Nothobranchius furzeri: one gene and its partner. Each later gene encodes a partner of the first gene's protein in a complex. Links are inferred from orthologs where the notes say so. Each region holds a gene or a part of one and is shown on either strand. Other genes may lie near its edges.

The links.
Region 2: the proteins of claspin (region 1) and chek1 are in contact, whole or in part, in a crystal structure (PDB 7AKO), measured with the Homo sapiens proteins. The link is inferred for Nothobranchius furzeri from reciprocal best matches to the Homo sapiens genes CLSPN and CHEK1. Residues at the interface, in NP_071394.2 of Homo sapiens: Glu938, Leu940, Leu941, Leu943, Cys944, Ser945, Gly946; in NP_001107593.1 of Homo sapiens: Lys53, Lys54, Cys57, Met61, Arg129, Thr153, Val154, Phe155, Arg156, Tyr157, Asn158, Arg160, Glu161, Arg162.

Annotation. Positions count from the first base shown.
Region 1 is NC_091759.1:26,763,947-26,769,706, reverse strand, and holds the end of claspin, read right to left. Parts: intron 4,415-5,760; coding exon 3,937-4,414; intron 3,860-3,936; coding exon 3,826-3,859; intron 3,756-3,825; coding exon 3,575-3,755; intron 3,047-3,574; coding exon 2,994-3,046; intron 2,895-2,993; coding exon 2,730-2,894; intron 2,349-2,729; coding exon 2,227-2,348; intron 2,133-2,226; coding exon 2,002-2,132; intron 1,933-2,001; coding exon 1,821-1,932; intron 1,740-1,820; coding exon 1,660-1,739; intron 1,589-1,659; coding exon 1,427-1,588; intron 1,200-1,426; coding exon 1,092-1,199; 3' UTR 957-1,091; downstream 1-956.
Region 2 is NC_091750.1:44,930,874-44,936,577, forward strand, and holds the start of chek1 (serine/threonine-protein kinase Chk1), read right to left. Parts: upstream 3,908-5,704; 5' UTR 3,811-3,907; coding exon 3,754-3,810; intron 3,592-3,753; exon of another isoform or gene 3,588-3,591; coding exon of another isoform or gene 3,567-3,587; coding exon 3,523-3,566; intron 2,865-3,522; coding exon 2,750-2,864; intron 2,028-2,749; coding exon 1,919-2,027; intron 1,788-1,918; coding exon 1,723-1,787; intron 1,654-1,722; coding exon 1,584-1,653; intron 1,503-1,583; coding exon 1,314-1,502; intron 151-1,313; coding exon 46-150; intron 1-45. UniProt on the Homo sapiens protein: Serine/threonine-protein kinase which is required for checkpoint-mediated cell cycle arrest and activation of DNA repair in response to the presence of DNA damage or unreplicated DNA.

The DNA.
Region 1 (5,760 bases):
TTAAAGTAGTGATTAAATGTAAACACAGCAAATAAGAGACACATTTTTGCTGTTTACATAGTTTGATGACACCTAGTGGTTATTTACTGGTACTACCGCCTTGACAATGGCACTCCCACTCGATGAGGATCATTTATTAGCATTTAATACAGCTGTGTAATGACGTATGAATTATTAATATCAAAACATTGTCTGATATGTTTAACATGCAACACATGACTTATTCTGGCACACAAACAACTAACTGGTAACCAAACACTAGGCTGTGTAACATGTGAACGAACTTTTATCAGTACCTTTGTTAAGTTTCAGATTTCACTGGGGGTGGGGGGGGGGGGGGGAATGCAGCCTGCCTAGTGTAGTCCATTTATTTAATCCAGCTCGGTGTAAAGCACTTTGGGGGGTTCCATGACTAGCAGGTGCTACATCATTTACCGTGTGTGTGTGTGTGTGTAGATGGATGTAAGGGTGTGTGTGTGTGTGTGTAGATGGATGTAAGGGTGTGTGTAGATGCATCCATCTACACACACCCTTACATCCATCTACACACACACACACACACACCCACACCCTTACATCCATCTACACACACACACACACACACCTCTGATTCTGAATGTAACCATCAGCTGGGGGGGGGGGGGGCCTCCTCCTCCTAATGAGACAGAAACAGCTCACCCGTCATTCACCACTGGGAGACTAGTTAGTCGGGTTAACAGCTGAACGGGTCTCCTGGGTGGAGCAGGTGCTTTACTGATCCCCCCCCCCCCCCCCCCCCCCCGAGCATGAACGTATTAAAAATTCACCAAAGCATCAGCAGAAAAACTAAATATTCACTTTATTTAGGGAATGAATGTAAAACATTTAGAATCAGGTTACATCTGACCAGGTCCTGGTCCAGGTCCACACCCAGACCCACACCCCGGTCCAGGTCCCGGTCCAGACCCGGACCCATCAGTCTTCATGCCTCCAAATATTCTTTATGTACACGATGAGCAGGAATTTCCCCGCCAGTGTTTCCAGGATCAGCTGGAGAACACCTTGGAGTTCATCCTGAGACGCTGATCCAGGACCAGCAGGACCAGCTCCTCTCAGTGGTCCAAGAAGCTGAAGATGCTCCTCTGGGAGCTCTCGGTCTCTCTGCAGATCCTCTTGGCTGATGGACTCGCCACCTCTGCCTGACTCCGCCTCTTCATCACCTGAAGACCAAACATTCAGAGCAGTTTTTACTTCCTGCAGCTCTGGTTCTGGTTCTGGTGCAGGTAGCGGACCAGGAGCGCCCCCTGCAGGAGCAGAGGAGCTCTTCGCTAACGTGTGTGACTGGGTCCTCCTGAATGTTCTGCTGGGTTTCCTGTTTGGCTCTAGAACCTTCAGGGACATTCCAGTAGGGACGGACCACGCCCTTTATGACATCACCACGACTCACCTGTTTCTGCGGTGCGTTCGACGGCTGGCCCACCTTCTCAGGTGAGAGCGTCTGAAACAGGAAGCCCCGGCTGTTCCTGGGCGCCAGCAAGTTCCCGTCGGAGATGGAGGCCAGCTTCTGGAGGACGGCCTGAGGCTGGCTCAGGAGAGAACCCCTCCTCACCTGGAACAGAGCCACAGTCAGAACCTTCTGCAGCCCAGGGTAGACCTCTAAACGCCACACCTGAGACGCACCTGTGGGGGCCCAGAGGGTCTCTGGAAAGGATTCAGAGCCGAGGTGGACTTTTGTTCTGGTTGTGGTCCTGCAGGAGGTTCTGGTTCCAGCAGGTAGACAGTTCAGTTAGCAACCCGGGCTAATCCGGACCACGCTAATGAAACACCTGAGGGTGACACACCTGTTCTCTGCAGGGTTCTGGCCGTTAGCTTCTGGGCTAGCTTCATGAAGCGACTGTCTTCGCCTCCCAACTCCTCGTCCTCGTCCCGCCCTTTCCTGCTTTCCTGCTCCGACTGACAGGAAGCAGACAAACAAATGAAGACGGAACAAACACCGACGGGATCCTTCCCGGCGGGAATCACCTGCTCTCGGAGCCACTGCTCTCTCTCCAGCCGGTCCTTCCTCCTCTGAACCTCGCTCACGTCTACGTCCTCCTCTTCGTCCCCGTCCTCGTTCCCGCCGGGGCCCGCCCCGTCCCCGCCGAAGACATCGTCTGGGTGAGAGGGAAAACCCGATCAGCTATCACGCCGAAGGTCAGAATCTGGACGGGACCCGCCGACGCCGGCGCTCTTCCTGGATCGGCTCACCGATGTTTCTCCAGCGGAAGCGGCGAGCTCGGCCCGGGCCATCGGAGTGCAAGTCCCCGTCGGCCAGGTACTGCTCCTGGTACAGCCGCAGGCGCCGCTTGTCATCATCCAAGAGCTGCTTCCTGTGGAACGGAACCCCAAAGAACCATAGGAACCTTCTAGAACCTTATGGGCCATTCCCATCAGTACCGGGTCGGCCCGGGCCGGGTAGCCCCAGTTGGCCCCAGCCTGGCCCGGTTGATTCCACACATCCTTGCCTTAAGCCCATGTGGGCTGATTCTAGCCACCAATCAGAGGCTTGCTCTAATGGAAGGTGTGAATTTGCTGTCAGCAGTGGGTGTGTTGGCCCTGGTCGGCCTGAAGCAGACCCCCTCCAGAAGAGGGCTGAGAATGAGCCTTGGTTGGCCCGGAACAATACCAGGCCACCCAGATATGTAACAACCTACGCTACCCGGCCCGGGCCGACCCGGTACCGATGGGAATGGCCCACTAGAGGCACTCACATGTGGATCTTGTTGACTTGGTTCTGCAGCTCCTCATCAGAGGGAAGTTCTTCCAGAAGCTCCTCCTCCTCATACTCACTCCCACCACCATCATCATCCTCATCATCACTGCCCAGGTCGCTGCCTGACAGCTCCGCCTCTGAATCCACGTAGTCCATCAGCGTTCTGCAAAGGAACCAGAACCGGACCCGGAGAGACCAGCTTCAGAACCAGGAAGTTCCAACGACAACTTCCTGTTTAAATTACGCTTAAGAGACGTTTTACATTTTCTTCTTCTTCTGGAGTCGATGTGTGAAAACCACCTGCTCCTCTTCCTCCTGCACACACACACACACGCATAAACACACGTGCACACACACACACACACACACACACACACACGCATAAACACACGTGCACACACACACACACACACGCATAAACACACGTGCACACACACACACACACACGCATAAACACACGCGCGCGCACACACACACACACACACACACGCATAAACACACGTGCACACACACACACACACACGCATAAACACACGTGCACACACACACACACACACGCATAAACACACGCGCGCGCACACACACACACACACACACACGCATAAACACACGTGCACACACACACACACACACGCATAAACACACGTGCACACACACACACACACACGCATAAACACACGCGCGCACACGCATAAACACACGCGCGCGCACACACACACGCACACACACACACACGCATAAACACACGCGCGCACACGCATAAACACACGCGCGCGCACACACGCACACACACACGTTTCAGGATCTGACTCCAGATCAGCAGGATGGTTTAGATTATTTTACCTTCTCACTCTCTACGTCTGACAGAAGGTGGAACTCGCAGTCGTCCTCCTCCTGCTCCTGCTCCTCCTCCTCCTGCTGCTCCTGCTCCTGCTCCTCCTCCTCCTGCTCCTCCTCCTGCTCCTCCTCCTCCTGCTCCTGCTCCTCCTGCTCCTCCTCCTCCTGCTCCTCCTCCGTTTTTGTCCTTTCAAAATAAAAACACAGTCAGCACTGCACCGCCGCCGGTTTGGACGGGAACGATAAAGATGCCGAACCTGTTCTCAGCTGACGAAGTCGTCGGAACCGAATCTGAAACAAAAGGATAAAAGTAATAAATAATCTCTGTAGCTCCGCCCCCTCCTGCCAACCACTCCGGTACTTCCTACCAGCTTCGGTGAATTCTCCAGAACCCAGACCCATCAGCTGATCCGTGGTACCGTGGAGTTCCTCACGCCGCCCCTCCTGGGTCTGTGGGAAGGCTCCGGAGCACAATCCCAGCAGCTCGTCCTGCTGCGTAGTCCCACGGTGCTGGTCCTCATCGAACCCCCCCGAGCACAGCCCCAGCAGCTCCCCCATGTTGGCGTCCATGGCGTTCTCATCCAGGCTGTCCAGGACCAGCTTCCTCTTGTGGGACCGCGGTGCTCCGGGTCGAGGACCCACGTTTAGGAAGCCGTCTGCGTCTAAGAGCTGGGAGTGGGCGTCGTCCTCCAGGGAGAAGCGTCCCTGCGAGTCTCCGCCCAGACCGGGACCAGAAGCTGCTCCTCCCATGGGTCCAGAGTCGGCTCCGGGGGACGGGGGGGCGTACAGATCCTGGGAGTCCTCCACCGGGAGGCACAGGGACGGTTCTGAGAGTCGGCCAGAGCTCTGAGCAAAACCAAGAGGAACACTGATGTTATCAGGAAGCACGTTTCTGGTGATGGACACGTCTCCAAGTCCACATCTGTGGACGTCTTCACTTCCACTTCCTACATGAAATCCCTTCAGACCCATCAGGTGTGTCACCCAGACCTGCCAAACACACGTGTGGCGCTTCTTCTCCGTGATGTCCACATCCTCTAGCAGGAAACATCTGGATGCATTAAACAGTAAAAGTCGCGTGAGCTTTACGCGCCGATGGTTACTTTCATAGGAATATTTCACTGCCTGATGTATGGAAATGGTTGGAGAACGTAACGATGAACCCGAGCACACCACCGGGGCGGACTCATGCAGGTTCTGGTGGCTCGTGTCAGCACAACTGCACGGTGAGGTAGTTTAGAGGGTCGCAAGCATGGCCACCATTTTTAAATCACACGGTTTTACTGGTTCATTTGGCTAATTGTTGTATTTATTCATTCTTCCTGTTTGTTTTTGTTTGTTTTGTACAAAACTGGATGGGTTCTTTTTCAAGTTTCCAACATGGAAAGCTTCATCCCTCCTCCTGCTTCTTTATCTGCTCTCATTACACAACCATGTATGTGATGGGCGACCGTATAACTGTTAACTAAACATAACCGGTTACCAACTCCATAACCCTAACCCCTACTGGAGGTTTCACACTCAGCGGCTGTCTGGGTTCAGCTGCTGCAGAACCACCTGGTTCAGGTCTGAAGAGCCCAGTCAGCCGGTTCTGATAGTTTTATCTTGCTAACAGATAAATGTTCACACCTGTGAGGTGATCCATGAGCAGGGTTGGCACCCATCACTACAACTACTGAATTAGCTCCAGTCTCAAATGCTGATGTGCACAAACCAATGTTTCAGTGCAGTTCTGTGGTGAGGGCAGAGGGCAGAGGGCTAGGGTTAACCCCAGCCCTAGCCAGGTTGTAGTGAGCACGCTCGTTTTACCGCTGGCGCGCTGCAGACAGGTGGAGAACCGGGCTTCAACACCAGAACCGAGCAGAATAGTGGCGTAACGCTACCGCGTCCGTTACACGTTACGTAACACTACCGCGTCCGTTACACGTTACGTAACGCTACCGCGCCTGTTACGGGTGACGTAACGCTACCGCGCCTGTTACGGGTGACGTAACGCTACCGCGCCTGTTACGGGTGACGTAACGCTACTGCGTCTGTTACAGGTGACGTAACGCTACCGCTTCTGTTACGGGTGACCTAACGCTACCGCGTCTGTTACGAGTGACATAACACTACCGCGTCTGTTACGAGTGACATAACACTACCGCGTCTGTTACGGGTGACGTAACGCTACTGCGTCTGTTACAGGTGAC
Region 2 (5,704 bases), on another chromosome or scaffold:
TTTAATATCATTTTAACAGCTTTTTCAAAAATGTGTTAGGCTTACTAAGAGGCAGCGGTTGTATTTTCTTCCAGGGAGGAAGGTAGGTTTTTTTCTGAAGCCAGTCTGAAAACTCCTGACAGGTCTCGGACGGCTGATCCCAGGGCAGCTCTAACAACAGCACATGTTCTGTTAGCTCTTCACATCATACCGCTTGTGTTTCTGTTTAATTCTAATACATCATGCTAGTGTCAAATAAATGTATTAAAGGCATTTTCTTAATCTATAATAGTTTAATGGTCATTACAAAACAAGTTTAGGAAGTTCTTTGAACTAAATCTGTCTCACATAAAGAGATCTCAACAGTTTTGAGCTAGTTTTTGAAGGGCTCTACTCAGTACTTGGACCGGTGCAGCTCAGCCCAACCACGTTTTCCAAAGGAAAGGGTTCAGTACTTTCCCTCTACTTTTCCCAGTATTTAGTCCCTGTTCCATTTAGGTACCTGTCAAGGCTGAGTCGGGCCAGCATCGCTACTGTGGCCACTAATTGACTAGGGGGCGGAGTCACTGGGTGCTCCAGAAATTTCTGCCTGCTGCCGTTTTCTGGTTCAGATTCTGACAGAAATCCATAAAACTGAGCAGAATGTCCAACAACATCACCCTTTCTGTGCCGAGTTGTGTTTCTGTGTAACATACAGATCACTTTGCACCTATGAGGGGTGCAAGCACACTCTGTCATAGAGCTGGCATGGAAACACTCAGGTGAGCCGACTTAACCCACACTGTACAGAGCTGTTTTAGGCTGAGTAGTGGTGTCCTTCGAACACTAGTTTTATTGTTGACAGTTTCAGTACCTTCCAGAATGAGCCATTTTAGGACTCTGTCACTTTAAGAAAACAAGCAGTTGCTGGTCACACCCACCCACCCCCCACTCAGGTTGCTATAAGCTGAGAAGCTCTGACAGCCAGAAGATGCTCGGAGTAGAGCCCTGCACCCCTGGTAGCAGCTCTTTAGCACGTGAGAGACAGTTTACTTCTACTTTCCCCATTTGTGACATCACAAACAGGGACTTTCTGAAACGGCTTGTTTTAGGCACATAAAACCTAAAAACCACACGAACAGAAAACAGATGGATGGATTTTTTTTCCATGTTTGGAGAGTTTACAGAGCCAGTCGAGACCCACATGGTAGCACAAAAGTTCGATTTTGCATAATATGTCGCCTTTAAGTTATTAATTCAAATTATGAAAGTATAGAGCATTGATCGGGATGATTAGTCTGTTACACTAAAACCCCCTGAAAGACAGCGGGTGCCTGGACCGTGTGGGATCTCACCTCCAGCTAGCATGGCCGTCAGGACGATGCCACAAGCCCAGATGTCTGCAGGCTGAGCACTATACTCTGATTGGCTGAGAAGTTCTGGAGCAACGTAGGGAAGAGTCCCACAGAGTCGGTTCAGCTGGCGCTCACGTCCTTTGAACCGAAACATGGTGGCTAGGCCAAAATCAGTCAGCTTTAAGTTGTCTAAAGGTTAGAAGATAAAAAAAAATGATGCATGGTTATGAGAAATCATTAAAAAAAAACTGTGGCACTCTATTTGCCCACCTTTGTCATCCAGCAAAATGTTTTCGGGCTTTATGTCTCTGTGGGTGATGCCAAGGCTGTGGAGGTACTCCTGAGAAGAAGCAAATAAAAGAATAAAAAAAGAGCCCGAATCAGGCAAACAACACAAACATTCACCCACCACAGCTGACATTAGCTGCTGGAAAAACCTGTGAGCATCCCTCTCTGGCATTCCCACATCAGGCTCTAAAACACCAGAAAGACAAGAACTCGAGTTAGGCAGGAACTAGTTAAGATAATAAACTGATCTGCACTTCACAGACACCAACAGTCTGCTGCAAAAATACAGTTTTATCAGAGAGCCCGCAGTGTTTTACCGATCCGGTCAAACAGCTCTCCTCCGGTGCAGTACTCCAGAAACAGATAAACAGTCGCTCCTTCTTTCCGATGCCCAAAAAACTTCACAATGTTGGGATGGTTGAGCATCTGACAAAGAACAAGGTTGTATTTTTAATCACTGATTAGGGCTGCACGATATTAGGAAAACATGCAATGTCCGATAGTGATTAATATTGCGATGATGATATTACTTGCAATAAATAATAACTTAACTCAGGAACTAAAATAATAAAAAAAAATATATATATAAATAAATTTTAAAAATGACAAAAAATTTCTTCAAAATGACAAAAGCAAAAGATGTGAAGAAAAGACAATCAGTGGAACCCGGGAAAAGCAGAATCAGCAAAAAGAGCAGAAAAAAGCTAACTTAAGGTGTTTGCTAACCATCAAAATTAAGTGCCGTCCGCCTCGGGGGCGGGCATCTAACCTATGAGAACCCATCCAATTGGCCAAATGGGTGAAAAGCTGTTTTATTTGTTAAAAAAACATCACACTTCCGTTTGATTGACAGAACGCATTATGTGTAGCAAACATTTGACCCGGACCCGAATAAGCGGAGGAAGATGAAGACGAAACATTTGAGCTGACCATTCATTGCAATATTTATCTGTTCTTTGCGATATGCATATTGCACATGCTGATATCGCGATAACGATATATTTACGATATATTGTGCGGCCCTATCACTGATTTCAAACGTTGAACCAGCACACTTTGTTTATTTCTAAAATCAGAACAGAAGTGTTTGACTTAAAAATCCTCAGAAGAAGGTAAATGTGTTTTCTGCAGCTCAGTAAGACAGGTACCTTATGGACGCAGACCTCCTTTTTCACGTTGTCTGCACACTCTTTAGACTGAGAGGTATCGACGACTTTCACTGCCACTGCCTCTTCAGTGTGTCTGTTCACCAGCAGCCTCACTCTGAAAGAGCATGGTTCAGAACAAAAAGAGAAATAAATCAGAATTTCTATAAGAAAGAAAATAGAACAGACTTTTGGAGTAAAACAAAAACTAGAAACGCACCGGAACCGGACAAATGTCAGCCTGATTAGCTAAACTGGTGATTGACCAACCCAAAACTCTACTTTTCGGATGAGTGAACGCAATAGAAATGACTGGTCCATGAACTCACCATCAGCCCTTTTCTTTAAGATCAGTAAATGCCGCAGATATCGGCCTACAAAATCACAACCGGTGCACATCTGATAAAGGTGATGTTTTTTTTTTTTCCTATTTTTACTTCACCCTGTGTCTTAATGATTTTTAGCTGTTATTTTTGGGAATTTTGTTGTATTTCCTTTTTATCTTTTATCTGTGTTCGACATGTTTATATAACGCCTGTTTAATTAACCAACATTTTTAGTGTACAGCGCCTTGTTTGGTTGTAATGCCTTGTGAATGCGCTTTATAAATAAAATTGGATTGGATGGTGTGAATTACAACGTGCATTTAACCAGAACTTAATTATTAAACAAAAGTAGCTTGAGTAAAGAAAAACGCAGCTCGACTTTAACCTGCATTAAGGTTTGGTGCAGCATTTAGCCCAGCAGCTACTGAACTATATATATGATGTTCTTACTCTCCATATGCTCCTTCTCCCAGAGTCTGAACGAGGTCCCAGTCCTGGACAAAAGGCACCGCCATGATGCTTCAGTAAACACAAAACACACAACACGTATGTAACGTGTATAAAAAAAACTCATCATTAAAGACAAACAGCGCCAAACTTTAACGTTTGCAGGATGTGAAGCAGCGCTAATGTCACGATGCCTCCATATCTGTTCAGCGATGATTCATGTGACTGTCTTACCTCCACCGCCTTTTCCCTGAGCTGCGTTTCCCACATGTGACGAGTCACAAAACACATTTATTCTAACTCCGCCATGGATGTGCATCTGTGATAAAGGGGCACAAATTTGGCGCCTTGTTGTTTTACCGGAGACATTGCGTCATTTCCTCTTTTTCTTCTACGCTTTTGCAGGAAACCTACAGCAAGCGCACACTTCCGCCCCCCTCTGGTGAAATAGTACACAGCACCCAATCATCCACCTGGTTCTCCCTGAGCTGTTCAAAGATTAATGAATGAAAGCCGCTGCTGCCTGCACACAAAGGACTGTAGGTCAAAGCATACTCAGCACAGGACATGCAGATATACATTTTACAGACCACACTTGCATTGTAGGACGTTTTTATCTGCCATGTAGAATAAAATATGCCGCTATAATACCCATTCTGTTGTGCACATTGTCCATGAATTGTCGTATGAATTTCAAAAGTGTGATATGGCGCAACTTTGCACCATTTGTTTATTTATTGTTTGTGACATCACAAACAGGGACTTTTTGAAACAGCTTGTTTTAGGAACATAATTCCTAAAACCAAACACTGACAGTAAATGGATGGAGTGTGATTTTCCAACCTTCTGTTTGAGAAACTGAACAGAAAAATTCTTTGCTAAATCCTGGAGGAATAGAGATCTAGACCGATCCTTTGTGAGTGGATAATTTTTTTGGGAAAAGGGCTCAAAAATGTGTTCAGTCCATGAAATGAAATGTGTTGTTTTTGACAGCTATTATCTAAAAATCTAAGTGTGTAAAATATGTATCAGACGGATGAGCTGTTACCAGGCGTGTCCAGTAGAGAGAGTGAGAGAAAGCATCTCAGAGTTGGAAACCTCAACATCATACATCTGTGTTAAATGTAGATCAGCCACAAGAGACACAAAGATGATATGATGCGCGGTTGAAAACATCCAAGCACCAAACTGAGACAATATCAGTAAAGGATATACTTTTTCTTTCAGTGACTAACCTCTTATTATACATATGAGATTAATCTTCCAGGTGATCAAGAAGAAAATTTACGTAATTACCTGCTTAGCTCATGTAGAATGAGAAGAAAAACAATCGAGATTCCAGTTTGGTTCTTTCTAGTGTTTCATCAATAAATAACTCAACATGTCAACAAAGCTCAAGTGTTTGAGGGTGTGTTAGTGACATTGAGAGGTGGAATGTTATGAAGTGGTTACTTTTAATAAAATTTCAACTAAATATAAAAGTATTCAATAAAAATATGGATTAGCAATGTTATTGAACCTTTAATATTTGATTGATGATGAAACTAGGTACTTTGGATATGCCAGGGAACCAAAACCTTATAATAATTTGACACAGAGGCAAAAATGTAGTTTATAAAAATCTATTTATTACTATATTTCTAATACTAGGATGACGCAGGAGAAATGATTATAAATGGTGATATAACCCTTCCACTGTCTTTACGGGTGACCCCGCGAGGGAAGTTGACTATTGAGCAGGGTTGATGGTTTATCCCTTGAGGTCCATGTAGCAGGGGTGAGGTGGTGCTCACTAGAGCCCTGCACGGAAGCCCTAGGCCCTCGGGTCAGCCCGGCCCGACGGCCCTCAGGCCAGGCTTCGGGCCAACGACTGTGTAATTACCTCGGACACGGGCCGTGCGCCTTTATTTTTAATTGAATTCATTAAAAAAATTGGAACACTTAAACCAGGGGTCGGCAACCTGTTCCCATCAAAGAGCCATTATTACCCGTTTCCCACAGTAAAGAAAACAGTGGGAGCCACAGCAGCAGCGGCGTTGTGGGCGGGGCCTACCCTCAGACAGCAGAGAGCTGCTCACAACAGGTGACAGCAGCCGGTACCGGTCGCTCGTGTACGTCAAAGTTATCTTTCATAAGACGATAATCAATAAAACGATTTATATAAAATGGATCCAGAAGTTGTAGC